Drosophila melanogaster: one gene and its partners. The protein of the gene in region 1 interacts with the protein of each later gene in a pairwise test. Each region holds a gene or a part of one and is shown in the gene's direction. Other genes may lie near its edges.

The links.
Region 2: the proteins of RapGAP1 (region 1) and CG30001 interact in a two-hybrid assay, tested with the Drosophila melanogaster proteins (one large-scale study listed by BioGRID).
Region 3: the proteins of RapGAP1 (region 1) and DCX-EMAP interact in a two-hybrid assay, tested with the Drosophila melanogaster proteins (one large-scale study listed by BioGRID).

The regions. Positions count from the first base shown.
Region 1 is NT_033779.5:7,574,434-7,584,806, reverse strand, and holds the start of RapGAP1 (Rap GTPase activating protein 1), read left to right. Parts: upstream 1-5,826; 5' UTR 5,827-6,247; coding exon 6,248-6,570; intron 6,571-8,199; exon of another isoform or gene 8,200-8,562; intron 8,563-8,793; exon of another isoform or gene 8,794-9,073; intron 9,074-10,373. Other genes in the region: Spn28B (serpin 28B), read right to left, coding at 1,574-1,716, 1,770-1,908, 1,961-2,802, 2,860-2,872.
Region 2 is NT_033778.4:9,818,152-9,828,524, reverse strand, and holds CG30001 (uncharacterized protein), read left to right. Parts: upstream 1-5,569; 5' UTR 5,570-5,643; coding exon 5,644-5,709; intron 5,710-5,768; coding exon 5,769-5,861; intron 5,862-5,910; coding exon 5,911-6,020; intron 6,021-6,083; coding exon 6,084-6,178; intron 6,179-6,241; coding exon 6,242-6,370; intron 6,371-6,426; coding exon 6,427-6,578; intron 6,579-6,634; coding exon 6,635-6,779; intron 6,780-6,837; coding exon 6,838-7,088; intron 7,089-7,145; coding exon 7,146-7,265; 3' UTR 7,266-7,357; downstream 7,358-10,373. Other genes in the region: hebe, read left to right, coding at 1-98; dila (dilatory), read left to right, coding at 1,400-1,711, 1,765-3,160, 3,219-3,336, 3,399-3,536, 3,600-4,020, 4,222-4,877, 4,934-5,360; CG34033 (uncharacterized protein), read right to left, coding at 7,392-7,787, 7,846-7,956; lectin-46Ca, read right to left, coding at 10,088-10,373.
Region 3 is NT_037436.4:14,897,981-14,908,353, forward strand, and holds the start of DCX-EMAP (Doublecortin-domain-containing echinoderm-microtubule-associated protein), read left to right. Parts: upstream 1-5,824; 5' UTR 5,825-6,256; coding exon 6,257-7,000; intron 7,001-10,373.

The DNA.
Region 1 (10,373 bases):
TCCCTGCCACTTGTGGCACGTGTGTGTGTGTGTGCGGGGGTGTCCTTGTACACGAGCTCTTGTGTCTTCCATATTCTTAATTAGTTGCGCACTTGTAAGCAAATCGCTTAGCTAAGCAATTTGTTAACTGCATGGATACTCCTCTAATTTCTGCCTCGAACCATCCTTAAAGTTCTCTTTCCCTTTCGGTGCTCGCCACTCATAAATTAGATGGCCGAAAAGTTTCGTTTTCCCTTTATTGGTTTATCGCAAACTTTTAATAATCGACAACCTTTTCCAGCATTTCGTGGTATGAGTATTGTTCACCTAAAAGCGCAAAGGGTAAAGTTATATATAAATTATATAAACGAACGAAACACAAAAAAAAATATTTTATAAAATATTTTGCTAAAGGTAATTTTAAAAAATACATTTTTTAGGTACAACTGATATAGTGAAACGTGAGCAATGATTGAACACCCTGTTTGTTTGCCGAAATCCAACCTGTACCAATAAAATTCCCAAGCAGGAAGGCCAAGAGTTTGCTAAGCAAACTTTTCATAGCCCCAAGCATTTCTAAGCGCAGAGGAAACAGCTACTGGCGTCACTTCCGGTGTCCTTCTTTATCCAGCGATATTCCTTCTAACCAAAAAGTAAAGCGCAAAAATTTAATTTAAGCTGATTTTGGATTTACCTCTTGGTTCAGTAAGGGAAAACTCTGGCAGGGATTAAGAGCCGGAAAAGGAGAACTGAAAGTCCATCTGACAGACATGTCCAATGTCCAATTTGTCGCGTGTCCAGCAAAAACCAGCTGAATTTTCACGTATATTTTCGCAATTTGCTTCTTTTTCTATCCGTATTAGAGTTAACAATTTTTTTAATTAAAACTTTTTTGGCTTGGATTAGAATGATGACGCAACTTGTCTTCGACCTTTCGCTTTGCTGAATCGCCGAATTTTTTTATTGGCCAAATATTGGTCATAATTAAGGCGATAAAAAATGACAGTGATAATTATTAGCCTGCCTCTCCAACCATCGACGCAGTACATTCCTTTTTCCTTCGTACAATTAGATGTTTCTATCCCGTTCTGCCGTCTTTTAATTTGCATTTTAATTTATGGGCGCCTATAACTTTTATCGACGTCGTTGTCTTTGCCTTTTTTTTGCTAAGGCCAAAAGGTCAAACAGCTGTGTTGGTCGGACTCTTCGGACGTCATTCCCTTGGCTGTCGTCGAGGGTCAATTAGCAGTTATATCGAATGGAGGATAAGGCAAAAGGTTAAGCCCATCTGACCGGGCACACATGGCTCGAAAAACAAAACTAGACGACCTAAAAAATGTGCAATCGGTGGAAGAAAAAAGTCTTTAAACTGATATTGATTGCGGCCTCTTCACAGCGTTTAGATAAGTCTATAGTCCCTAAATTTCTTAATCACGGAATGATTGATTAAATATTCATTAACTTTGTACACGTTTCCATTTAACATTTCCTTATAAGATTTTGAAATTATTTAATAGGTATTTTAAATTGTTTATATTTTTTATATTTTCTTTTTTGACCTTTAAAAAGTTAGTCGAATTTTGCTGGCATTTGATTACCAGCGTGGTTCAACGATGTGACCCTGAAAGTAAATGACTTTGTTGTCATGAATTACGTAGAAAAACGGATGATCAGCTATAAACTCCATTGGAGGCTGTATTAAATTGTCAATGGACTTCTTTCGGCGAGTAAGAACACCTAAAAGATATTACGTAAATGCTACGAATCCTGGGGGAATTGTTATTACTCACCTGTTGCCGCAGAAGCTTCGCCACCCTTTTCATCGATCTTCAGAAAGGCCTTTTGCACAATTTTATCGATCTTAGCACCAGATTCTAGGACGAGCCCATTTAAGTCAGCTGAGGGCTTAAATACATCTAGAATGCCTAACTGAGGAAAGGTATAAATAAAAGGTATCATTTATATTTAGCAATATACTAACATTTTCAAAAATTCCCTTTAGTTGTGCTTTAGATTCGATTTTGAACTTGGGCAGTTTAACATTTACGGATTTTTTTTCCAAATGATAGTCAATAAAACCAACTTTCTCTTTCAGTTTTCTAAGACCATCAACACTATTGGGCAGAATGATGCGCATAGAAAGAGTTGAGTTCCAGTAGGGTAGTTCGATAATCTTTGCATCAATGTCATCGATGTATCCTGATAGTAGGGATGCAGACAAAGTCATCATCTTCACCGGAATAATTTCGTTAGCTGATACATAGAAGTCGGCTATATGAGTTTGGTCGGCCTTGAAGTTATACAGCCACTGGCCCTTGAAGTAGATTGCATTCACCAGAAACGCACTTGTATCCGAATTAAAGTCCTTAGGTAAAACTATGTTCCGGATCATGCCACGCGTTCGATTTAATATCCAGCTATTGACTATCGCAGACGCACTGACTGGATCGTCTAGACGGATCGACTTGGCTTTGGCCTTGAAGGCCTTTCGTGCCAACTGGTTAAATTCCGGTACAAGGCAATATTTCTTGTTCACATATATCCGGTTTGCCATATGCAGGATAATAAACGTTTCGCGGCGCTTAAGATCGCTTAAAAGGCTACGATAGTTGTTTGCCACAAGTGTTTTGTTCTCAGAAAATTTCAAAACGTTTCTAAGCTCTTCGAACGTTTTTCCACCTGATGCCATATAAACCATGCTCATAATAATCTCAGCAGATATCGGCGAATAAATGAGGTTCCTTTTTGCATTCTGCGATGCTAGAATTCGATAAAAGTCCTCCCAAAACCCGCTCTCTACTGAGGTGGCCAACAAAAGAAGATCTAAGGGAATTAGACTGAATTGTTGCAGAGTAAAATACGATTTCGTTGACCGCTTACACAAGTATTTCATTCTGAGAGCGGCTTCAGACTAAACGCATATTAGCAGACCGTAAGGAAATATAAATATATAAATATAAATATATTATTGATGGTAATTTAATTAAGAACGCCTGAAGACACAGCTCCCCATTAGACATACTTCCGAACTCTATGCGTTGCATTTCACGAATCCGATACTACTGGTTCATCTAATGAACACATGTCAATTAAAGCCGCGGTCTCGTGTCTCATGTCCGTGGAATGAAATATGTTCGCTAGTTTCAGTCTTCAACTCAGTCTGAGACTCCTTCTGCAACTCCAACGTCAGATCCAGCTCAAACGTGCACTGATAAAATTATCAATCATAATCTTTTTTAATTTATAAAATTTGTTTTAAAAAAAGTTTATAATGACAAATCAATTAAGACGTATTAATTTAAATCTTTATCGTCTTTAATGATTCAGTAATTCACTTTTATGGCCTGTTTGAATAAATTTCATTAGTTTTTGAAGTATAGAGAAATAAAGTTTTTGACAACAATTATTAAATTAAAATAGAATACATTTTTTTCCGTGTAGATCGAAGTTTGCGTGCTTCGTGGCTGCCTGTGTTACGTTACGCACATTTTCGCGTATTTGGGTGAGTCGAAGGGGGTGCTGCATATGTTTGTGGCAAATGGGGGGCCGATAAAGAGGGGCATACAAGCGACAGCTTGGACATGTTTGCCTCAAACCCCTCAAAAAACGACGAACCAAAATGCAAGTGTCTCGCCTTACAGTCGCCCCCAACTCTTTCACTAGGTTTTTCTTTGAGCCTGATTTATGTCGTCGAGTGTCGCGGGTGTTGCGTGCCGGCACCCACAGACCCCTTCTTACCCCTTCCTATAGACAGGAAAAAATTATGTTTAATAAATAAATATAAAGTTTAACAAAGAAATATTAAGCTTATTCTTGATCCTAAGCTATACGATTGTATAGAAATATTTCTAAATGTATATGAACATACTAAACTATCTGTATCTATTTAGATTGTTTTCAAAAAATAGTTGTTACTTGAGCAGATTTTTAAGAACACATAGAAAAGCCAAGAGTTTTTTCCAGTGCAGTTATCCGAGACTGCGGGCAGTGCAGTTTTAGTTTTTTTTTCTACTCTGCGGTCAGTTTGCTGTCTTCTTTCGATTGGCACTGAAGCGGAGCATGCGATTTCCGCTTTAATGTAATTTTGACAACGCACACACGATGCTCGAGTGGTCATGGGGGATGGGGGCGGTGCTGGGGGGTTGATGTAGGGGGGCGGTTGCGATTGAGTATCGTCATCAAGGAAATGTCATGATAAATCTTACTCGACTTTCCCGTGGCCGAAACCGTTACAGTAGCAACTGCGAATTCGATTTCGATTTGGGTTTTCGATTTCACTTTAAATTGGTTTTGATACTCTGTAATTAGGAGATCGCGATAGGGGGAAAATTAAACATTAAACACTTATTAAGTCACATGAATTTTTGAAATGCATCAAAAGGCATTAAAACAGATAAGAAGTATTTCGACAAAATAGAAATGCCATTTTCTATTTTGAATGCAGGCAGATGCATTTTACTAAAAAGAGTATCTTGAAGCTACAACGACTTGATTTCTTTTTTATAATTTTCATATTTACAGCTCTCTTATCGAGCGATTTGTTTTGCATGTTCCATTTATCTGATTTGCTGGATATTCCATTACCTGTTAACTCGATTGCAGCGGCATTTAGCAGTTGTGGAACCACTTTTCGACGCCACTGTCTTCATCCCCCCCATCGACTTTAATGCACTTATTCTCCGTCCGTTTTTTGTGCATATTGCGACGCCCTGAAGTCTGTTTCCTTATCACCCTCTTTTCGAGAACCATTAAAGTTCTTGGTGGTGACCCGCAGCAGAATCGTAAACCCAGCTTGACTCATTGATGCATCGATGAGACATTTATATTTTCCAGTTGTCCCCACACTACTTTTTCCTATTCCAAGTGCCATAGAAATGAGGAAAATCTGAGTAAAATCGTCGCTTATTATGCGCAAATCAATTTCCCAGCACCTGAAAATGTCAAACGAAGGTGTAAGAATCAGATAAGAGAAAATCTTGATGGATTGTTTAATTAATTAACCAAAGTCTAAATGGTGATTGATTGGAGCATTGAACTAGACAATGGTTTCTATTCATGGGGCGTGTTAAAGGGGGCGGTGCTGAAAACCCTGAGATATCCGATAGCTGGAAATGGTAAATAAAAATAAATAAAGACGTCTCTATATGTACGGATTACACTTAATTTGTATATCGGCAGCAATAAAATGAAAACGAGCTGACTTAGCGGAATCCCAGCTCGGTCATTTATCACCAGCACAGTAAAACTGAAATACAATCCAAAACTAGTAAAAACGTTTAACTGGCGCTTAAGAATGGAATATACCTTTTATATTTATAAAAGAGTACAATATCCACTTCTTTAGTGGTTTCTAAATTAAACCTAAAAAATGTAAATTTAATTTTTAATAAAACACATTAACCCCAAAAAGGTGAGAATATTTATTATTTATAGTACATTGTTTGAATTAAGTCCTCACATGATTAGTGAGAGGTTTGGTTTTATCTTTTATATGTTAATTGCGCTGTTATGTTACTGTTATTGCATTGTATTGATTCATCGCTTCTAAATAAATAAATATATAAAAAAAAAAACATTGTTTGAACAGATTTTTGATGCTTATATGATCGCTTTAAGTACATATATTCCCAATTAAGATCAGAAGTACCCGGTATGTTTAAAATAATGAAATCGCAAGAAATATAAGTAAATTCAGAAAAAAACACTATGCAATAAAACGTGCGAAGTTATAAAAACAATGGAAATGGAAAGAGAGGGAGAGCAAAAACAAGCGAGGGAGAACGCTCCAGATAATGGAGCTCGGTTCTAAAAAGTCGGTTCTTGGGGCTCTGTTCCGATTCTTTGTTGCGGTCAGTCGGAAAATCGAAGGCGGCGCGACGCGACATCATATCGAAACCCCAACGAAACGCGATTTATGCAACGAACGAATTCTAATTTATGCAAAGAAAAAAAAAATGTAGACATAAATTAATTTTATAACTATAGTCACATTGTGTAATGAGTGAATATAATAAATCTAAGTGTAAGCCCGGAGTAGAAATGATAAGAGTACCAATTCGCAGTGAAAAATATAAATTAAAAATATAATATATTCTACAATCTATATGGAAAGTTATAAACGTATATATTTCAATTAACTTAATAAATTCATTATAATAAAACAAACTAATAAAAAACACATGCAATTACTAGAGTACATAGTACATATTCTGTTAGTACATATTCTCAAGAGTAACCTTTCAAAATTTAGTAGATTTAGGCGATAAAAATGAGTTCCTACAGGACATTGGTGGATCATGGCCATCCGATTATAGTGGGAAGCAGTGAAATATCGCTGGCCCCGAGTTCGGCAGCCAGTTCGCCCAAGCCCCTACACCGGATGATCAAGTACTGGCGCAACAGTTCCGGAAAAATTCCGGGTCTCCGCAAAAGCGAGAGTTTCGCCGAGTATCGTCGCCATTCATCCAACTCGGCCACAATTTCGGGAGGATCAGGGGGCAGATCGAGCACTTCGAGTGCCAGGCAATTGCAATACCAGCGACTGGAGATGGAAAGCTGCGAGAATATAGATATGCTGACAGAACCACTAAGGTAAGTGCACTTAATGATAAAAACTAGTTTTTTTTTTCAATTTATTCATTAATAAATTACTCATTTTTATGAGTGCCAAGATATTAATGTGGTTAATCGTTTAGAATCAGAGCATCAGGTGGTCAAGAATTTAAAATTTGTTTGTGCCTAGCATTTGAAAGGTTTTAAAATGATTTTACCCATTTATTACCTACACATCGTAAACAAATCAATTTTATTTCTTTCTCTTGTAAATCACTTCCATGGAGACCGAGATAAATGTTGAATGACCAAATATATGCATGCATTCCATACCTGTTTATATAGAAACTACCAAAGAAGTGGCATCCATTGTCTTGCGGTTCACTTTGATGTGTAACCCCAAAAATGTGGGGCATGCAACAGTTGGTTATCTGTTTTCGGGTTTTCGAAACGCCCCTCGCAGCTGCGGTTTATCGTGTGGTTATCAGCTGTTCGTTATCAGCCGCCAACGAAAACATCGGCAAGCATGTGGATGATAAAAACGAGGGAACAAGTGCAACACGCCGACGTCATTTTGTGGATTGTGGAAACAGTTCGCGGGAGAACTGCATTTTTTGCATTTACAAATACAAGTCGAAAGTTTGTGAACACTTTTCAAAGTGATTCTTTTTCCACAAATTGTTAGATTTGGTGTACAAGACAAAAAACAATGTTTAGTCAACAAAAGTTGACGGAAAATTCTTTTTTATAACTACTATAACATACATACATACATATTCAATTTCGTATTCTGTAATACTTATTCGGGTTGACATCAGAAATCCAGAAAAATGGTATATCCAAATTGTGAAAATACTTTCTCTCGAAAAAGGCTCATGAAAGAACGTGTTCTGGAATAACACCACTTTCCAAGGGGGCGAACGCCGACTGTTTTTGGCTCGTGCCTCTGTTTACTTGTGTATTGGTGTCCCACGCCGGTTCCGGTTATTCGGTTTGTTTTGGTTATCTCTCGGTGGAGGGAAATCATTGCCTTCTGCATACTTTTGGGGTACACTGTGCAAATAATTAACTGGCAACTGCATTGCCGGCTTCTTTGAATTGCATTGTTTTCCAAACTGTTTACTTTGGCTAATGCGGGCAGCTCCGCTCTCCCCTGGCAACAACTCTTTCTGTTTGCCTAAACTGCGCGCATTTGGAATGTAAATAAATGTAAATAAACAAGAATTTCGCCCCCATAAAGGCAACAAAAGCAGTGAGAGCAGAACAACAACAAACTCGCTCTCTCGCCTTAACAAAAATGCAACGTGCACGTACAGTTAAGGTCGCAGCAATAGCACGGATTTTTATAAAATTATCTGCTCTTTAATATGAATTAATGCATATCTGTATCATCACATGTTTTACATGTTATTTCATATATCATTCCACTCTTCTTTGTCTGCGCTGCATTAAATAATTTTTATCTGTCTAAGCTTCATAATATATGTGTACATAAATAAAATCTCCATAACTGGATCCACAGCCACTATTATTTTGGCCCCCACTGTGGAGTTTGTGGATCGCATTCGCCAGTGGAACCTGAAATCTGAGCTTCGTGCGCAACGATGTTGTTCGTCGCTCGCATTCGTGTTCGTTTGGGGCCAGACCCGCAGCTTTTCTGCTTTGCGACTCAGAGTCGATTTGTGAACCAACTCGTGTGGGCGTCCGAGCCAGCGAGTGTCCGACTAAGTGTGTGCGTGTGCGAGGACGACCGGGCGTGTGTGTGAGCGTTGTCGCGCGTCTGCGTCGCGAAATCCTGATATCGGGAATCGGAACAGGAATCGTAATATATTTCGGGTCTGCGGTCCAGACGCTGATGCGTCTTCTTCATTAGCTGTTCGAAAAGTAACGGTAGAACGCAAAGCAGTTGCAAATCGACAGCAACAGAAGACGGCGAGAAGCGCCACGAATGGAAAAATCAAAACAAACAAGAAAATTGTTAAAAAAGAAGAGCAAACAACAAACGAATACTCGAATATGTGAAAGTGCTAGGTAATCAACCAAAAAAATTATAAAATTAATATAACCAATTAAGGCAATGATGATTTGTGGTTTTGAATTCTTGAAAAAAGTGAACAAAAACAAATCATGCTAAGCATAACACGCAAACTTTCTTCAACAATTAATTTGCAATTGATCCCACTGAGGCGGTTTCCTAAACAGCCTAAACAAAAGAAAGAAAACGAAAGCAATAAATAGACAAACAATAAGCAAAATGTTTGACGAACTTTTAATTGAACGTGTGTGCTTGAATAACAACAAATTGAAATCGCATTTGTTGGCCTTATCAAAAAATTAGAAGCGAAAGTGGCAAAGGTGTCTTAATGGGCAAGACAAATAGAAATCAAAATAAGTTTGCCAAAAAAAAAAAACAGCTGCATAAATACGCGCACGTAGTTAAAAGTGAAATTTTTAAACAAAAATCGTTGGCTGAAATTGAAATGTAACGAGCAAAGAATCCAAAAGCAGAAGCGAAGAAAGTGTTGAAACCAAGTGAAATTGTGTGCGTAATATTTTGTGCAATTCAATTACGAAAATTCCATCCAATAACAAGTGCATGAAATGACGGAATAACATAATCAGCACAGACAAATGTCAAACCACTGAAAAGAAACTACAAATGAGAAATATTTATAAAAAGAAATAACCACAAAAAAGTTCCGTTTTTGTCTCATTCCTCTCCCTCTTTCTTCATCTCGTTTTTGGCGGTTCCCGAGTTTTCTTGCGTTTTGTTTTCTGTGTCTTTGGAGTTCGATTGAAATGCGTCACGCATGATTATTACGTGTATTTTTGGTTTTTATAACCATTTTATCTTCCTGCGATCAGCTTAAAATTGTGTTTCTTTATTTGTTGTGATTTATGTGCAAGTTGTGTGAGGTGATTGCAGATATGTATAAGTTACCTCAACAATTGGATATGGTGATGTGAAATTCGGTTTTTTACAAGGGGGTGAAAACATTTGAAGATCATGAACCCCAACAGGTTTTTTATATTCAATACAAAAACGGAATTGTATATTACTTCCCATAAAGGAATTTTGAATTAATTAAAGATCTTTCCAACGTGGTATCAACTTTTTCTGGTCCTAATGCTTCAATTAATATTTAAATTTATTAGAGTTGTTATGTGAAATTGGAAGTGGAACAATTTCCAACCAACTCCATTGGGAAAAGCGTTTTTTCTCGTCTCCGACTGGCAAAAATGCAAATTAAAATTCACGCATTTTCCACCTCTTTTTGCGCCCTGTTCGCCTGTCCCGTTAAATGACAATGTTGCATCTCCTTCTGCTTCTACTACTCCTCCCATTCTTTGCTACTGTTGTTGTTGTTGTTGGTGTTGTTGTTGTTTTCCTATTAATATGCATAGCCGGCGGTCAAAAAGTAAAAAAATGTATGTATGGTAAATTCGCAGAGCACGTGAATTTCTTTTTGGCTTTTGAAACGGGTTTGGCCTGAAATGATTTCAGTTTGTGTTGCCGTGTTTTCTGCTGTTGACTTTTCATTTTCGTTAAATTTTTTCTCGATTTTTGTCTCGCTGCTGCAGCTTGCAAAAATATTTATTGGCATGTGTGTGCGAGTTTTGCGACTGCTGTTTTGGTTGTTTGCTGTTTTCACTGCTTTGCCAGCTGCAGCTTTCTGGAATTTCAGTTGCTCTTTCGAGAAAACGGGGTAACACGAGCTGTGCGAGTCGCTACATCATAAAAATCATATTTTTTATAGAGACCTGGTGGCCGGACTTAGATATGGAATAGTTTGTTAAACTGTGTACTCTTATTTAATTGATAATGTAATTATAAATGCAGC
Region 2 (10,373 bases), on another chromosome or scaffold:
CGAATGGCGAGCTCAAGGAGCTGACCAAGCTGAAGTTCGACATCCAGAGCGATGATCAGAACGAGGTCCAGGTGACGCCCGTACTGCGGGCGGAATAGAAGATCGGCGGATCAAGATGAGAAGTAGTGCAATTTGTTTGTTAAACAAGAAACCATCAACTATATTGTGTTGTATTTTGTGTTAGCTGCTAAGTTGATTACGAGAAATGTTGCCAAATTTAATTTTATGCTTCGCGCATCAGTCAGTATCGAGAATGGAGTCGGAGTCGGAGTTGGAGCTGGAGCTGGAGAGCCTAATCCCCCATAGAGCCACCCATGGAGGCCCGGTCCCCAAAGCGTCATTTCGGGACTAGCTAGACCAAACTACGTGTATTGCAATAGACACCATTTGCTTTATTTAAATAAATTATTAATTAATATTGAAACCGCGCGTCTTTCGGCTGGAATATTCCTCTCGCGGTCACTGGATGGTCTTCGATAAGGGTGCTCCACCACAAGTGTGTGTATTTACTGTCACGTAGAGTACCTTAACTTGTTCCACAAAGATAACACTATATTTGTTTGCCCCAGGCGAACGAATTGTCCCATGGGGGAATGTTGTCTTAGAACTCGAAGTGTCTTAAATGGCGCATTGAGTTGCGTATCGCTATATGGAAATCTAGATCTCTAGATCTCCAGGGCTTTGCCCGCCGAAGTCAGCCTTTGATTCATGGGGAATTACTATGTTCTTTGCTGGAATCTAAGATATGTTTACAATTAGTCAGAGTAATGCTCCCATAAGTCGGCACAGATAGCACCCCCGAAAATGCTAAGACCACGAGCTCAGTCAGTGAGTTTCTAGACGTGGTGAATGAAAACCGAAAGTGTTTGCCGATGTCTAGCATTGAACCCCGTGCGGTGACCTTCGCATCGATATGCTCCAGTCGCAATCAGTTGTTCTCCGTGATTAATTGTTTTGATTCCGCTGGTTTGCCCGTGTGCCATAGTCGGTGATTGATTGGGAGACACGAATAATAATAAAATAATAAACGAGTGGAGTCGGATGAAGTGGAGTGGAGAGGTGTGGATTGGGAACGGAGTGGTGAATCATGCAGAGGACGCGACACCTGTTCCGGCGATCGAGGGTGGGTCAGGTGGTTCAGGTAGCTCAGGTGGTTCACCACTAAGGTAACCATGTCAACTTCGACCCGCCTGTTTTTTCCGGGGGTTGCAGTGCTGACCAACATCTGGCCTGCTCCTGACCCTCGTGGCTAGCACATGCGTTTAATCGATATGAAAGTGGTGGCGGTTTTTCACGTTGGCCAAAACAAACTGGAGTTAGTCCGTTTCGAAAACCAGTAGGCTATGGCAGGGCATTCAGTTCGAAAACTATCTAAATGAGTGCTTAATTCTAAGCTATTATGGATTTATGTCTTAAGGGCTCTCAGGTAAGCTCAGAGCGACATGGTCTACCCCCTTTTGGATTAGGTACTAAGAGTGGTCAACCGCAGATAAACCTCGCCACACGACAGAAAACGAAGCCCAAGTACACCAGTCGTTCGCTGACGACGCTCCACAATCCGTGTCCCCATTTCCGGCCACGCTCGGCCAACTTCCTGCAGCAGCGCAGTCGCTCCTCGCCTTTCCTGGGACGACCTCAGTCGGCGGACCCCAAGTTCGGTCGTCGGTTGAGCAACTACTTTGTTGAGAAGGAGCTGCGCAACGGCGGCAAGGTGAGTGGGTTTAACACCCTGCGGTCATCGGTGTTGTAATATTACCTTTTTAGAGACAAGTCTCGTCGAACGACTTGCTGAAATCCCTGCTGGAGGAGCCCATCAAGCGCAGTTGGCTCTGCCGCAGCACCTGCAACTCCTCCGAGTCCGACTACTCGCTACACAAACGCACTCCCGACAGCAGCGAGGAGGGGGAGCAGTTCCTGGTCAACATGCCAGTTGGTGAGAAGGTAAAATCCTACTCCTCGTACTCTGGAAATCAGGGCCTCAGTAACGGGGCTCTTCTTCAGCGCACCGCCAAGCCAGATCTTCCGGGAAGGGTGTCCTTCAGCAAGCCGAATATGCACGCGGACTTGGACTCCAGTGACTGCGACAATGACAAGCAGGAAGTGCGTCCCAGCATCTCCGCTCCGGGTCCTCTAACTCTTCCCAGTTTCCTGAGCAAAGTGGAACAAGCCGATCCCGTTGGGCAGAAGAAGTCCGTGCATTTTGGATCCACTGCAGCCGAGGGAGAAGTTCTGGCGGAGACCTACGAGTATCCAAAGTGCCCTTCGGAGAACTGTACATGCAGCACGCGATCCTCTTCCACCACAAGCACCAATGAGGCATCGGCATCGGACGTTAAGTGTGCCTGTGATGCTCCAAGCTGCCGGTTTATGGAGTCCTCCAAGCAAGTGGAACCAACTAGTCCCACACCCACTCTCCCAAAGGCTCCGTCATCGGAGCTAGATGTTATAAGGGAGTATAAACAGGCTGTGGAAGGCGTTCAAGTGGTCAAGAACCACTTGGGAACTGACACCCTGAACAACATTGAGATACTACCCAACTATCTGGACAAGTACGCTTCTCCCACTAAGGAGAAACAGAACAATCTGTCCGAGACCAAGAACATGGCGACCAATAGTTCCGCTGTTAACAACGGTTCCGTCGTCTACAGACCCGTTGGCAACCCAAGAAACTTCGGGGCAGAGAATAACTTTTTGCCAGCAGTGCAGGATGATAGGAGATCCTTTGCGAATGGCAGCTCCGATGGCGTCATTAATAACTATCTAAAGGTGGCCTCGACACCACCGTTTGTGGGCAAGAAAAAGGAGAACGTAAAGCCCGCCAGTGCCGATCCAATTGCCAGGAGCAGCAAATCCAAGGTGACTAAGTCCACAATCAATCCAGCTCCGCTGGGTAAGATGAAGAAGGCCATCAGTGTGGGCAGCCTACGAGAGGAGCGGAAACTCTCAGAGTACAATCTCGACAAGGTGGACAGCTGGATGAGCATGCAGGACCAGAAGCAATACGATGGCAAGCACAAGCCAGGACTGGAGGACCTGGACGAGGCACAGGACAATGATACCGCCTCCCAGTTGTCCCTAAAGTCGAATGAGGACTCCAGGGACTCGACATATGATGAAATAGTATCTGTCATCAAAGAGATCGAAGAGGACAAGAAAAGGGGTTAGTTACTGGTTTGGATCTAGAAGGGAACGTTCCTCATATTTGATTTCCTTGACAGACAACTTCTCCGAGGGAATCCCCAGCGAACTGAACCTAAACCTAGATTCCCGCTGTGAGACGGCCGACACAGTGACTGTGAGTGAAGGTAAAGTTCCCGAAAGTGGAGATAAGTACAAGTAAGTAAATACAAATTACCACATTGGTATCCATCCAGTTATATACTATGGTATCCTAACAGGGACATCCTGGCCTACCTGAACAATGTGGAGAGTAGTTGCGACAAGACGTTGATGGAAACACGTCGTTCCATACCGGATAGCAATCGATCGGAGGTGGAGTTCGTGGTGGAGCCCGATGTCACCGATGAGGTGCCCAAGTGGGTGAAGAGTCATGGATTCCCTTGAAGTTCTTCACTTACTATCCTTACCCTTTAATTCAGGCTATCCGAGTTGCTGATGCTGCCCAACCATCAGCTTGCCAGAAGGGTCATTGCCCTGAGCTTGCGGGCCAACGAGTTGGCCAATGCCATCCATATGTCCAAGGAGCACGTCTTCCAGCTGCGTGGCGAAAAGCAGAAGAGCCTGCGGGCCGAAAAATCCACCGCCGCGGCCAAGCTGCGTGATCAGAAGAAGCACTATGAGGAAGTGGTTACCCGCCACCAGGGATTCATCGAGCAGCTGCTCAAGGACAAGGGCTCCCTCTGCGAGAAGGTGGCGGCCCTCACGCGTCGCTTGGAGAGCCAGAACCAGGCATGGGAGCACCGCTTGGAAACTGAGCTGGCTAGGACCAAGGAGACCACCATGGCGGGCGAAAAGATCCGGCGAGAGCGATGGGTGCGCGAGAACACCAAGAAAATTAAGGTATAGGTTAGCTTTAAGGATCTCGATTCTTGTTATCCTTTAAAGTTGCACATATAAAGAATGGCTTAGGAATATTCCATCATTGGATCAGTAATTAGTATCTTAGTTTAGTCAAAACTATTACTTATGATAGGGTCCAGAATATTAGTAGTTTTTTACATAGCATTATATTAATAATCACCAATTTACTTCATTTTAAAGGAACTTACTGTTAAGGGCCTGGAGGCGGAGATCAACAAAATGAACTGCGACCACCAACGCGAGGTGACCGAGCTGAAGCGCACCCACCAGATGCAGTTGCTGGACGCCTTGGAAGAGGCACGCACGAAGCACGAGCAGATCGAGACTAGCATTCGCGAGAGCTGCGCCCAAGATCGTGAGGCCATTATCGAGAAGGAGCGCACTGCCATCCGGGAGCGATTCGAGCGCCAACTGGAGGAGGAGCAGAGGACACAGGCGGAGCAGCGCCAGAAACTGACCGAGGAGTTTGCCGCAGAGCGTGATCGCCTGCAGTCAGAACTACGGCAGCGGGAGAATGAGCACCAAGCCCGAAGACAAGAGGCTTTGCGGGAACAGGAGCAAGAGCTGGAGCAGGCAAAGTTTGAAATGCAGGAGCGCATGGCCAAGCAGGAGGAGAAGTATCAGAACCGTGTCAACACCATCGAGCAGCAGTACCAGGCTGACTTTGAGCTGTGGAAGACGGAGCACGAAAACAAGACCAAGTTGGCCCAGGCGGAGAAGGAGAACGCCATAAGGCAACACTACCGGGCGGAGAGAGATCGTCAGCTAGACGAACTGGTGGTGCGGATGGAGGCCGACGCACTGCAGCACAAAGAGGAGCACGAGCTAAAGATGAAGTGAGTACATGCAGGCCAAATAATATGAGCCCCCCTCCTAAGCCCAATATTTTCAGTCGCCTCAAGGAGAAGTACGAGAAGGATTTAGTTCTGGCCGAGAGCGTCGAGAAGTCGTTGCGGGAAAAGTATGCCGAGACTCGCGGCAAGCTGGCGGAGGCGGACGCCCAGGTGCGGAACAGCCAGGCGGAGGTGAAACAGCTGCAGTTGGAGCTGAGCCACAGCAAAAAGATGTGCGGCGACATCATCATGGAGCGGGACAGACTGCGCGACAACCTTAACGCGGACATCCAGAGCGAGCTGGGAGTGCTAAACGAGCGCCACAAGCAGGAGATGGATCAGCTTCAGAAGCGCGTCCACCAGACCATTCAGCGGCAGGAGGAGACCATTGAGATCCTGAAGGGCGACAACGATGCCCTCAGGCAGCAGTGTCTGAAGCTCAACGCTGTCATACGACAGCAGCGCAAGGATTATTGTGTTAAATAGACAATTACTCGAAATAGGTGTATGGGACCTCCAAGCTAAATATTATTAGGAAGGTTTTTTAATAAATGAGTGACGAATGGCTTAAAAATGATTTTGAAAAATGTAAATGGACTTAAATAATTGTAACGGCTGTAAATGAAATCGATAAGCGTGCTATAAATAACCGATTCCTCTCAAAGCGGTGTGGTATTTTCAGCCACAATAGCTGAGGTAACACTACACGCGGGTCAACAAAAACAATACTTGTTCATTTTGAATGTTTTTATAATTGGAGGTTTTTATAATGGAATATGTGCAGGAAAATAGAGGATTTACCAATATCGGCAATAGCTTTGGCTTCGTATGCAGAGTAAGCAATTCATCCTACACATTAAATGAGTTCATTTTAATTGCCAGTCTTTTACGCAGATTATAGAAAAGCAATGCGGAATTCAACAATTGGGAGCTCTTGAAAAATACGAATTTGCCGAGCTACTGAAGATTCTGAATGGCACAGAAAAGGTGAGTAGATTGAAGAAGAGATATTCGTAATCACACCTATTCTGTGCAGTTTCTGGCCTCCAAGTTCTTCTGCCAACTGCCAGCGAATGTCGGCAGTTTTCGAGTTCTCCGACAGCTACAGGAACTTCGCATCCTGACGGCCACGCAGTACATCTTTAGGTGGGTTTCATAAAGAAGCTGCTAGATGTACGGACCCCCATTTATCCGTAACTGAATTCACAGCAAGGAGGACTCCGATCAACTGCAGGTGGACCTGATCATATTCCTGGAATCTGAGTTCGAACTTCTCGCAAATGTTTTCTTTTCAGCGGCTTACGGTTGGTTTCTCTTGATCTTGATTCTAGCTATTTCCCCATTTCTACTGATTTATACACCGTCAGATGCTGAATCTGCGTTGAAGCTAACCTTGATACTGACAAGCGCTTTGGGGAATCTCTATTCCGGCCTCGTTGGCAATCCCAAGATATGCAGCTTGGCATATGTGGAGTTCTTGTGCAAAACCCTGCCAGGTTTGTTTTTTACTGCACTGCATGATATGCAAGTAACTAAATTATTACCCATTCAGATGAAGCGCTAAATGTTTGCATGAACATGCATTTAAGTACCCTGTTGGATCTTCACCGATCGGAGAATGTAGACGAGGCATTCGCCAGCTTTAGCGCCTGGATAAATGAGGGCGTCGACGAACTAACCTTTGTAAAGCACCTTTGCGATAAGGTTATGTTCTCTTAAAACGAGCTATGTATCTTGTCCTAATTGAATTCTACTTGCAGATGTTTGCTAGCCATCAGCAGGCAGCCCTTCAATATCTATTCAAACAGTCAAACACGGAAAACTTTAATCAGTGGAAGTTCTATCTAATACTTGTGCAAACTATCGCAAGCGCAGCCAATCCTGAAACCACCGCATACATTAAAAGTATATTGATTTCTGTAGTATAATTGCTTTTTAGGAAAAGTGATCTTTTCCTTTGCAGAGTATCTGAAAAATAGACTTCTGCAAACTGCATCCACGGCTTCCCTGGGATCCTTGCTTCATTTGCTGCTGACTGCAAGGGCTGCTTGTGCCTCAACCATGGATGTTCGTGCTAATCTAGACAACTATGCGAAGTGGTACAAGCAGAACATTGGTGAAATGACGTACATATTGGGCACGGAAAAGTTTCAGACAATCCTAAGGCTCTTGGAGGAGTCTTTACCATACGAAAAAGAGTTGCAATACCTGGAGGTAATTAAAAATAGAAATAATTTGATGCAACTATACTTATTGAATAATTTCCTTCAGATTCATGTGTCAATTGCCATTTCACCTGGTGGGCGGCTGGTTCAGGCCTACAAAACTAAGTGCAGGGCTCATGCAGCTCAACTTAAATCGGTGGCAAAGCGAAAGGCTTCCACAGACTAGATGCAAGGTGGTGCTATTCAATAAATAAAATACTCAGGATACTCGCACTGAACACTGAAACTCATTAAAATGTATTATGCTCATGCTGTCCCAAAAACCATTTATTTGTCTGCAGTAAACTATAAGTTAGTAGGCTACAAGATCTCTTTCCTCTGCGGTTATGACGCATTTTGAGTTTCCATGTTTCATGCTAACACCATCGCATTCATCGGTTTTAGTACAGATGAATCTCCGGTGTTCGCGACACTTTGCCGATTCAAATTTGAAAAAGTCGTTTTGCTGTTTAACATAGACGCATCCTTCGTTGTTCACCAGCTTTGAATTGTGCGGCGAGTACTCAATGGACTTGTTGTTCGAAACGTATCTGTAGGTGGGCTTATCGTGTGCATTCAATCCAAACCAGTACTCGTGGTCGTCTTGGTTTATTTTGCTTTTCATCTGGAATAGGGTAACTTCGGTGTTTAGATCAGCCAAGCACATGTGGAGGCTTTTGCAGATGGTCAGGGCACTAAACCAAGAAGCCTATGGTATTGTAATTTTGAAATTTCCAATCTCAATGACTTAAGTTAAGTCTACTCACTGTTTTTTCACTGAAATACAGGCATATGCCCTTACCGTTTGCCTCATCAGCACGCAAAAGCAGCAGCAGCCAAATGGGAAGACAGTAAAGCATGCGTAGTATTTGACTCATTTCTTTCGGTTTGTTGTATTCACCAGTACTGATGGATTTCGAAAGTTGCTCGTTTTGGTATAGCTCACTAATGCCATTATACCATGGTGCAAACAATTAGGGTTTGTGGTAAATTACCTTTCCATATTATTTGATATACCTTAACCTAAGCAGGTACCACAATTTTTTGCTAAATTATAATTTATATATTAATTCCCCATTTTTTTTTTTTGCAAAATTTCAAATCTAACTGATTTTTTTCTTGACAAAAGTTGGCAGCACCGTATATGTCTAACCAGTGGTTCGGTTGTAGTACCCCGACTATCGCTCTCGAAATAGAGCGCCACCTAGCCGATAAGAGTGCAACCACTTTACATCCACCAAAGGCATTGCCAACTGTAAATTTTTAGACACTTGTGGACTATATTTCTTACGAGTGGCGCTCTTCTCTTAGTTTTTAGTTTGTGTGAAACGTAAACGTAATTTAGATCATTGAACGTTACGTTGAACGTACTGTGACTACGACTCCACACGAGTTTATACGTTTCTGTGCTCTCGACGCAGTCGGACGTTTAAAAATAAACGCGCTCCACCAAAAATACCTAGCCCGCTGGCCGCAAACGCAAATAAATCTGAACAAAAATTCGAATTCCATCCGGATCAAACAAACTTACAAACCCGAAAATTAGTTCTTCGACTCCAACGGCCGAGAAAACCGCAACAGTTTCAAAATGTTCAGCTCGATTTCAGGTAAAAAAGAAAAGCCCAGCCGCCAATCGAAGTTTATGTGAAAGTTTGGAAATTAGAAATCTTAGGTCTAAGCATGTGTACATATGTATGTATATATATGTACATATGATATACGAATGATATATGTATGTGTGCAGTGAGTGGGTTACCGCACTGGAGGAAGGAAGTCACTCGACTCCAACTACAACTCCAACTGCACTTCCAAGTTACATCATCATCACCAGAGCAGCGGTGGAGTCGGACAGTTGGAGCAGCTGGTGACCACGCGGGATTTGGATCCACGGTCGGGTGGGGTTGGCCAACCGGGCGTGTTCGATCCGATACGGGTCGCAGTAGCTAAAACCTAATTATCCGCTACCGCGACTCTGGTGATGGCAATGATGGTGATGACGACGATGTGGATGATACGTAAGCCAATTATGGCGCAGTTATATGTAGCTCCAAATGGACTACAAGTTGCCGTTCTCGCTGGCACATCCCACACCCAAAACGATGATACGTATATAATTATAGCTGCCCAGATACACACTACACACAACACGTATCCGAGGCATCCATATATACTTTGTATCTTCGAGCGGTTACGCTGCTGCTCTTTCCTTGGGGCTCTGGCACACTTATATGTTCCTGATGTTCGGGGAAGTGGGTGCAAAGAACCAGAGTTCCATCAGCCAGCTCCGCTTTCGATCTCTGAAATCCTCCGGCAGTAGATGCCACTTGAGAACCGCATGGTCAAGCATTGGCACTTGTGAGTTAGGCACTTTTGTTCTATTATACATAGATTGTATTCATACCAATTAATATTATCTGTTCCCACTCAATGCCAAGCAGATGCATCGAAATGTAAGTAACCCCAAATGGTGAACTTTCCACTCAATTACCTTGATAATGTTACTCAGTATTAGACATTCCTCACCGACTGCGTAGTTCAACATTTAGTAGCTGCATATTGTTCCTATTCAGCACTTTGATCTTATATGTTTAGCATGTGTTTTGGGTCTATCAGCTAAAAACATTCCTTTGGAAACCAATGATTAAGAGCTTTTAAGTACATTCATTTTTTGATTTCTGCTTGAACAGATTGTTTAAAAAACACTATTCTAGAACAAGTGGTTATCACTGTGGGGATTTTTAACAGCATGTTTCTGAAATATGAAAATATAATAGTTTTAAATTTTAAATTTATAATAAAGTGACTTCTTACAGGAATCAGCCATGTTAAGAGATACCATTATATATCATTCTTTGGGATCTTTGGATTATTGTTTTTTGTAACTTGAATGGAATGAAACCCAGTTGATCTTCATGTTGTTAAAACTCAAATTTATTTGGTGAAAGCTCAAATATTCCTCGGTTCCCTAAATGTCCATTGGTCCGCCCGTTTGGTGGTGGGTCCGTGCGTTCAGGCCGCCGGAGCTGGTGTTGCTTCGCCCTCGGGAGCTGCTGGTGCAGGAGTGGCGGCCTCGGCGGCTGGAGCTCCTTCCGCTGGTGGAGCTGCCGCCGGAGTGGCTCCTTCCGCTGCCGCGGCATCCGGTGCGGGCGTGGCTGCTCCAGTTGCGTCTGCCGCCGCGGGTGGACCCGTGCCGCCTGGCGGCACCGTTTGCTCCTGCTCGGCAATGGGTTCCGCGGCGTTTTCCATGCCATTCTCGAACACGGGCTCCGTGGTGCCACCACCATCACCTGGAGTC
Region 3 (10,373 bases), on another chromosome or scaffold:
GGTTGGGGGTTTGTTGTTCAGCTGAGTGGCAAGACAAAGCTTGAGCCGCAATCGCAGACCCCCACACGGTGGAAAAATATCATGAGCATTCGTAATCAATCAATCAATTACTTCTCCTTGTTTCTAGCTTATTTTTAAGTGCTTATTCTTAAATGTTTAAATTGTACAGCTTATATAATATTTTTATAAGTATTATAACCAATTGTTATAATACATTCTAACTTAGTTAAAGCAAAACAGTATAAATGTACTTTCATTTCATTAATATCCTCTTTTCGTCTGTATAGCCAATGACCATGTCTTGTAGCCGTAGTAGTTGCCGGAGTCGCAATCGGAGTCAGTTGAGTGCCTTTGTTGCGGTTCATTCAGTTGTATATGTGGCTCGGCTCGGCCGAAAGTCCTTACCGTGGCTTGTTGCTTGGCTTATAGCTCTTGGCCTGCTCCTGGGCCCTCTGATGCACTGTTGCCGTCGCCTCATCGGGGCTGTCGCATTCTTCAATGTCTCCTTTTAGTAGCGTCATGGGCTTCATACTTTGTATTGAAAAGTTTTCGCGCGCGACTGACAGCAGCTGAATGGGAAGTCTGCCTTTCTTTCCGCACATATATAGATATATATGTACATTCCTCGTCTTGGGAAACTTTGGCTTGCAGCGGATATCCCAATGCTCCACTTGATTCAACTTCAAGTGCTATATAATCGCAATTAAGTCAGTACTTCCAATTGAATAAGTACTTCGAAACGTAATCGATTGCCTGCCCAACATAATTGTTACTACAATTATACAAGATATAAACCTCCATTTTTAAGTCTTAAACGTTTGGAATATCTTTTTCAAATTTAGTTTGTTGGGTAAACTATTACTTTCGCCGTCCACTGCAGTCAATGTGTTTCTTTCCCTCTTTTTGGCTTGATTGTGTATATGTGTCTGTGTGTGTGCATTGTCCTCGTTGCCATTGTTTAATGGTCACATTAAAAATGCCTCATTGTTGGCTCTGTTGTCGTTGTCAACTTCTGACCGCGCCCTTTGCACAATATTTTCCACTGCATTTCGCCATTTCGCCCACCACCCAATGTTCGCCACCCCGGCCATTTTGCCATTTTCCTGCAATTTTCTTTTTCTTTCGGCCACGGCGCAGAAAAGTATGCAATACAAAATGCATGCCGGCGGCATTGGACTTTTTAGTGGCTTGCATTGCACTTTCTGTTTACTCGTACTTTGCAATGGTGTGTGCATGTGCGGGAGTGTGTGTGTGTCTGTGCATGAGTGGGTGTTTGCACGTGAGTACATTAGCTGGAAATTTAAGGTGGGCACGTGTGTGTGCATGCTGCTGCACAGTGGGCATTTACAGCAAACAAAACATCCTTTGTGGGCATCGACTTTTCGTGGATTCTGCCACCGCTGCCGCAGTACCAGAGTCCTTCATGTGAGCACAATGCCGAACGGCAACAAGGTGCTGCAGCCTGCACTTTTGCACCACCCGCACCTTGTCCCACCCGCTCTCTGGGGCATTGAAAGAGCTCATTATGGCAGGTACCTTTTTACCCAGTGATGCTGGAATCTAATCCAAAACGAGGGCAAGATGTCTACAAAAAAGTTACTAAAACGTTCAACGCCTTTAAGAAATATGCAATCCAATAGTGTTTATTCACAGAATTCTATAATTACAGAAACCAAATATATAAAATTAAACAAAGAAAATTGTAAAAGAATCTGGTATAGCTATTAAAAATTTTCAAAATGTGTATTTACGGTTCCAAATAATATAATAATATAAAATGGATACCAATATATTTAAATAATGTCTGAAATACCATTTTATGTTATCAAGACTTCCTGCCAGCACAGTCCCTAAGCACTCTCATGCACTTTGATTGGTGGCCGAAAGTGGGAGGCACAAAGGAGTCGTATTGGCAACAGAAAGGAAGCTTATTTTAGTTGTTAACTGATGTGGGCGTGCCACTGTTGGCTCCTCTAATAGTTTGTTGTTTGCCAGCTTGGGTCTGTTGGGCAAAATTAGATAATTGAAATTGAAACTGGATAGAATGATGCTTCAGATCGAAGCTACGTAAGTCAGCTTAAAAGTTTACCTCTGCGGGGCATGAGAAAATTACTTTGAAATTGCCATTGGGAAAAAATTCCCATTTAGCGGAGTAAAGATAATCCGCAGCTACTTTCATCTGATGATTCAATTGTGTGGCAATTCACAAAGCTGGCGAAATAATTAAACAGAAATATGGCTGAAAATCCATAAATCAGGCAGCCAGCCGGAAATGGCATTAAAATAATACATTAACTTCACCAAAACGTTGCGTCGCCCACACAAAAATGTGATTAATTTAAAAGAATGCGAGGGCGTACGGCGAAGGAAACTCACGAAGTTATTAACGGAGAGTCCTCGCCCCCAACCAATACAATTTACGAGTAATAGCATTGTAATAAAAACAAATTTCCACAAACGTTTGGCCTAATTGTACGATAGAAAAAATGAAAGCATTACCCCAGCCAATCTCTACCACCCGCCAATAGAATTTATTTCTGCGGTTTAGTGGGAGTGTACTATTCGCGGGGACTGTTGCTCGTGCGACCAGCGTGACACAGAAAATTTCACAGCACTGCCAAAAGCAGCGAAAATAACCCACAAATTGTTTTGGCCAAGTAGTTGCATGTGAGTGGCGCATAACCAGCCCCCTCGAGGACCCCTCTATCGAGGGGTATGGCACCTTCTCTATGAGAAAGGTGCTGCTGCTGGATCCGTGAGGTTGACGTTGACGTTGCTGACTAAGGCGACGACAAAACACACGAACATAAACCCCAAGCACACACAACGACGACAATATAAACACGATAAGCAAAAAACTGCGACTTCCCCTCGGGGAACGTGCCCCAAGTCAGAATTTGAAAGCGAAGTGGTGGTGGTTAATGGCGGTGTTGGGACGGGGGAAGTCAGGTACTGTGGTGCAGTGTTTGGGAATTTCGAAAATATAAATATAAAGTTTCAATTACGTACCATTAATCCAGCTGCCATATCCAGTCAAGCGATTATAAAAGTTAATCGTTGGGAAAAATGTTTTTGCAAGCCTCGGATATGGCTATAAGCATATATATGCTTGCTTATTAAATTATATTTTACTACAATTGTCATTAAATAATCATAGAAAATGTTGGGAAACTCTCTTTAATGTAAATAAAACAGGGCTTAGATAATTTGTATTATTTTCTAGAAAGTGTTTGTGCCTTTCCTTTGACCATCTTCTAAACCAAATATGTATTATATCATTTAGAAAATAGCCATCCAGCTTATTAAAGTCAAAAAAATCTAACCACAGTGCCATGAAGCCTTTGAGCCACAGGGGGTAAAAGGACCTGCTTTAGCTAAAGCTACGGTGTTATGGTAAGCGTTTCCCTACCCTGCAGCTCTCCCCTGGAAATCAGTTTAAAGGCCGAAGCTCCGCCGCGGGCAAAGACACAATCCCACAATCAATCGGTCAAAGCCAGGAATCTACTGGATCCCATGCGAACATAATAATTGGAGAGGATAAGGAATCTCCTGGCGACGCCACTGGTCGACAGGTAATAGTGCAATGAGAAAGGTGAAAAAGCCAAACAGCTAAGAGAACACAGCAAATGGCCCACTGGATTTTCCTTTGCACTGGTATGAGTGCATGTCTGTGTGAGTGTGTGAGTGTGTGTGTTTGTGTGCGAGTGCTTGTGGTTTTCCTAAGCAGGGCACAATTAGTGGTGGAGCAGCGGGCGGGAAGCGGTGGGCAGTTAGCCCCATAAGTCAGTCACTCACACAGGCGAACGTGTAATTCGATTCGCGATTCGAGGAAAGGAGGTAGAAAGAGAAAGGCACTCTCTAAGAAAATTGGCTGCGTCGCCAAGGAAATTTAGAGTGGACAAAAGGCAGCAGTAGCAGCAGAAGGTAAAGCTGCGGGAAAACCAGCAGAACAGCCAGCAGGCAGCGCCGCTCGAAACACACTTCAAAAACACTTTGACCGGCAAAGTTGCCACACGGAATTTCTTCTTGTGCATCGGTAAATGCCAGAAAGTAAGCAAAACTTTCGCACTTTTGTTTTGGCCAACTTTCTTGCCAGCGCGAGAGATGTTTTAATAAACTCGCCTTCGAGTTCATTAAATTTGATTCAAGTAAATGGGTTTGTGCTATCCGATAAGTGAGTGTTTTTCCCGTTTTTCCCCGAAAAACCGATCCAAAAGTGGAGACAATTGCGGCTGATTGATAGGCAATTAGTGGAAGTGGATGCTGCTGATGTTGCAAGTGGAGAGGCACAACTGTTTGTGCATAAATAACCCAAAGCAACAACTGCCGGCCCAAGTGTCATTAACCTAATTGCCGCAAAAGAAGCCACCGCGCCACTTTTACCCCAACCGAAAAAATATACGGCCATAAATACGACGACCAAAAGGAAGAAGCAACGTGCAACGTGTTGCAATAAAAACAAATTTGCATAAAACAGGTAAATCCAAACCCAAGCCCGCCGCCACCCCACAAATAAAAAGGTGAAACCATAAAAAAAATCAAGTAAAAGGGCTCACCAGTGAAAATTCCAGCTCCCTTGGCCCACAAATATTTATTTTTTGTTGCAATTGTAAAATACACGAAATTCCAATGCAGTGAAAAGGACTTGGATCCCGGTTTGTGTGGAAGTGTGTGTGAATGGTTGTAGGTGAACTGTGTGTGAGTGTGAGTGCAGAGTGGTCAAAGACACAAGAGACCAATGCCACTTAAGCCAGGAGTCGTCGGCTTGTTCCCTGCCGTCTGCAATTTTTCGGTGCTTAACACTCGATGCACTGGGGAAAAATCAGGAAAAACAGCCAGAATGATTTTCCTTAAATCTAAAATCCTGTTTCTGGGGTATTCAGATGTTAAATATAACAAATTTGCAAAGTGATATTGCGGGTCCTTTTGTGCGAGTTTTTAGTTAGATATTAGTAATAATATATAGAATATATATATAAAGATACAACTAGAATTGTTTATGCATTTATTTTGGACACAATATAGTTCTTGAACCTAAACCCAAAATGGTTTAGAATTTTTTCATACGACTTCGAGTGTACCCTCATCGATGTGTGAGGTAGCCAAATGCAAGGCAAGGCAAGGCAGGGCAAATAATACGCGATATTTTCGGCCTCTCCAGCGGGAGAGGAGAGGAGTGGAGCCGCCTGAACTGTGAACCCTGAACCCAGAACCCAGAACCCTGTCCCTCGACCCCGCAGAAGTGTGAATGTTTGTAGTGCCCACGCCGAATGGTTGAGTGGGGCTCTTTGGTCTGTTTGCTGGGACAAAGGCAGTGGCAAGTGCTCGCCGGACAGCCCATTGAATCCTTTGGAGTCCTGTGAAGTGGGGGAGTCGAGCAGCAGGCAGGCTGAGAGGGCGGAACTCTGGAGAGCCCTGGGCAATGGGAGCATTGGACACATTGCATCGAGAGTTCGTGGCATATCGATTACGTAGAGGGTGAGGATATAGTTAACAGTTGATATTTCTAAGTGCAAGGCTTGAGTGGAACAAGGACCAGGACATATGTATGCTGTGTTTGAGGATTATGAATGAAGACATTACATGGGAATATATATTCGATAATTACAATCTATTGACATGTTAAAGGCTATCAGAGAACTGTGAAGATTTGGCATTGTTTCTCCACAGTTGGTACATGATAAACAATTTTGAATCACGAATATTATAACTGATAGATTCCTTAACAGAATTTACTTCCAACCTTTTATAGACCTCTTATATTAGGAGAGTGACGTTCGATGTTCGAACCGATGTTTTATAAAAAAATGTTTTTTTTTGGTTCCAAAAATATTATTTAAAATGACTTAAATTAAATCCTTAATCAAATTTCTAATCAAACATTTTCCACTTTAGCCAGGCCAGCAACGTAGTTCTTTGCTGGGCAACCAGCGACTGCGTGCTCGAAGAAAACCTCCAAGAAGTTGCCCCCCTTTTGGGAGCTCCAAGTTTTCCTTTGCGTCGACGCGACGCTGCCCTTAGCGATTCCGTTTGACCACAACAAACCGAGCACGCAAGTTGAGCCAATTCCTTAAGAGAAAGCTGACGTGACTGCTTTAGGAGCAGGACAAGCAACAGTACCAACACCAGGACAATGTCCAACGAAGAGAACGACGACTATATGGCCAGCTTGAGTCAGGCCCAGACCGGCGAGGATGAGGTCGATGGCGGTGGAGAGGCAGCTGGCAGTAACGACTCCGTTCTGGGCGGCCAAACAATGCCACAAATTAGTCCGAACGCACCGCTCGAGGGAAACGTTTCGCCGCCACCGACGCAGCCCCATTTGGATGATAATCTGCACAACGGGAACGGGAACGGGAACGGCATCCACAGCAGCAGCAGCAACATTAACAAGCACGGCAGCAACATCAACGGCAACAACGATAGCAACCGCAGCAGTCCTGCGAAGAGTCCCAAGCGCCCAGTGTCCTCCAGCTTCCGGATTCAGAACACCAGCCGGTACGATAATGATGAGGAGGACTTAGCAGCCAGCGAGCAGGTGGCTGGTGGAGATCGCCAGGTGCCGGATTATTGGCAGCAACGGAACGGTGCGACCACTGGTGCAACCAGTGGGCGGCAGAGTCGCGCCATTAGTCCCGGGTATCTGGACAACATGAGCGAGAACTCGGAGCAGCCGCCAGTGGTGCCGCTGGTGCGATCTAAATCCCGTCCAGAAATTTCAAGTGCAGCGGCATCGCGATATAATAATCTCTCCTATTGGAAGGCACGCCGTGTGGTGTTCTACCGGAATGGGGATCCATTCTTTCCGGGTGTGGAGCTGCGCTATCGTCCCGGACGGGATGTAACCTCACTGGACAATCTTCTCGATAAGATCTCGCCCAAGATGGACTTGCCACGGGGTGCTCGATATGTGTTCTCCATGGACGGAGATCGAAAATATCATCTCGATGAACTGGAGGATGGAGCCTTCTATGTCGTATCCTCGTTCAAGGCCTTCAAGGTTAGTACCAGATTATTTGCATGCATTTCTGCTTTCAGCTCAGCTAAGTTTTTCATTATTTTGAAGTTTAAGTGAGAGTTTTCACGTCAGGCGCAAAATCAATATAAATTTGAATATTTTGGTATAATTTTAGTTAGTGTGCCGGTTGTGTGTGTAAGTGTGCATAACATACATAAAACTATATACGAGGTTTTGGCGTTTTTTTGCGGTCAGCGCTGTGGAGTGAGAAAACTTGGTCACTTGGCCTAAAAATCAAAGGCGTCGCTTTCCTTTCGGCTTCTTTGTTTTGCTCCCTCTTCTTCGGAAAAGCGGGTCCTTGCGGGGGAAATGGGTGAAGTGAGCGGGTGGGTGGTTAGTTGTTCGGTGGGGCCACATTTTTGCATGCAAGCACTTTCGTTTTCTCTCGCTCTCATTCACATACACATTCGCATTCACTCACTCTCGCTGTTGTGGGAGTCTAGCCCTAGAAACAATGCCAACAATTAGCACGCCTTTTGGCCTGCCACGAGGGCAAGTTGGGAATTAGGTCTTAGCCTTTATGGTCGACTGAGAGTGGGCTAACTTGAGAGTTGGGACGGCTAAGAGAACAGTGGTTCTTAAGAGTAGCTCAGTTGAGCAAAAAAGGATAAGGACATTAACTCTTTAGGCCGAAATGGTCAGCTGGCAGTTTATCGATAAGTTCCATCAATATACTGAAAGCGGTGGATGGAATCGAATTAAAAGTAACAGATTTAACGATAACTTTTCATCCAAAAGTTCGAGGGAGAAAATTATTTCTTTTATTTACATAGTACATTAATTTCTTGATTCTATAAAACAAGTTAATTATATTAATGTAAAAAGACTTAAGTATAAGAAACAAGGGGATAAAGTCATAAAAACATTGTATGAAATTCGAAAAACCATTTCGTCACCCAAGGACATTTTTTTAGGCAACCCATTTGAAGGGTTGACTTTCGCATAAATTTCAATCAGATACTCGCCAAACAGTTGGCTTAAAAGTCTTCTCTTTTTACATCTGGCCGAGGCAGTTGGCCAAAAACAAAAAAAAATCCACACAAATCGCAGACATCATGCGGGTGCAGCAATCAAGCGTCCGCACATCCAACATGTTCCGGAACAACTATTGAAAAAGTTTCCACCTTCCGTTTGACAAACGTTGTGGGTGGCTGATGATGATAAGGCTGAGTGGGAGTGGCTTTGGGAGTTGGGGTGTTTTTGTGGGATTGGCTGGAGAGGCTGCGGCAAACCATAATCGCTAACGACCAAGTCAAAAGCCATCCCCGACTATGCGTCTAATGCAGTCGAAGCGTGAGCCAAAGTCAGGATGTGCCAGTGCCCAAGACAAAGAAAAAAGGCAGCCATTCCATCCCGCCAGGATACCCAAGACCCCACACCCGCCATCCACCAGGTTGGGGCTTCTCCTCCGGGCTCCACTACGGGACACCAAGTACCGACTGCGACTCCGGCCTCAACTTCAGCTGCAACTCGCTACGGCAAAGGCAATTGCGCCTGGCCCGCGGCTAGCAAACAAAAGCGCAGCATGGAGCATGCAGAGTGCACTTGCGAAAATACTTCAACCAAGGATATTTTTTTTTTCGGTCAAGATTGACAGAACTCATACATATATATTCGGATTTTTTGTTCTTGGTAGAACATGAGAGAAGTGTCGAAATATTTGAATTTTTTGTTTTTTCTTTTCCTCAAAGATCTTCGGCAACAGTTTAATCTTATTCTGAGCGTTTAATAAAATAGTGTCATTTCATTTTTTAACTACTGCGCTTGAAATATTGTATTTAAAGTACTGAGTATGTAACCTGATTTTGCAACATTAAAAAACTTTTGAAAAAATCACCGACATAAAATGATTGAACTGAGAGTTTGCGGTTTTCACCAAAAAATATGGTCAATAAAAACCCAAGGCCAAAATAAACCGCAATTCGCGGTTTTGTTCAATTTATTTCTGAAAATTGACTATTTATGAAGAATAACTATAACTTGATGTAGCTGTGGTCAAGAATGGTATACATTTAAAGTGAAAATATAAAAAAAATTCCATTATTGCTAATTTAAAATTTGAATGCGATTGGTAAAGAAACTTTAACCGTTAAGCCGAAAAAATTGTGTCAAAATCATAGAGTTATTTTGGCCGTAAAGTACAAAGGTTTAGTAAGTTAGCCAAAAATGTATTTGTGATGAATGGCTCAGTTAAGTATTTATCCAGTATGTATCCAAAATCTCAGAATTTTCAGAAAATTTTATCCGGGAATTGAAAATGTACTTGTTCCTGATACTAATTTTGGTGTGCAGAACAGGAATCTTCGATGAAAGATGTTTAGCCCTACAAATTCCCAATGAAATAAGAAAAGTACCCATTTTTTCTCTATGTATAGGGCTTCGCTCCATTCGCTGCACCGCCTGAAATCAAAACTTATGATGAGCCAGCGGCGCTCTCTTCGGCAACCAAAGGGGATCCGTTGTGTGGGGTCGTGGGCTCCAGCTCCACGCCGTGGCACAAAAGGCCACAAAGAACAATGGAGCTGCGGGCACATATATACTCATCAGATGGGAAAATGCATAGAAAATCAGCCGGCACTTCGGGCGCTCTCACGCGAAAAAGGCCAATTTGAAAACTTGTGGCGTTTCACTTAGGGAAATTAAAAATGTATGCAAAGTACTACGCCGAACGGGAGGGGCCAAGAAATCGGGCCAGAGCAGGCGCAAAGTGCATTTTGGCCTGGCTAATAATATAAATTCATTTTGCGGCCGAGCCGAGCGGACGAAAACTGTTTACAAAATCATTTATGATAATTTATTCAACCGGGCATGCGTGACGACACTCACGCCGACACGCGAAATTTGAATGATTTTGGGTGCAGCAAATTGCATTAACCTTGTCAAAAGCTTGCCCCGCCAAATAATTGCTGTGTTGTGCGCCAAAAGAACCCGGAGTGGGTGGCTTGTGCACACAGTTTGTAATCAAAATTTAAATTTCTAACCATCCAGAGAAGGTCGAAGGCCCAACAGTGGGTTGAGACAGAGGAATTTTCAGACAATGAAAAGGAAACGTCGTTTTTGGTTGTTCCAAGGAGCCGAGGGAAAATAATGGGGAAGGGATTAACGAGCATTAATGGAATTTGTTAGCTTTCTCTGAAAGGAATTCAAGTTGCTGTCGCCTTAACAATTTTTCATTTCCATATTCTTAATTTGTTTATGGTATACATCTTCTTGGTAAAGAGGATGGAAAATAATCTCAAAGTAAATTTAATAAAACCAAAGGAATGTAAAATGCAAAACAGAACCCTTTTGTAATATATTTTTTGGCCGTTATTTTAGCCTTGGGCCGCATAAGGATATTTCATTTAATGCTAAA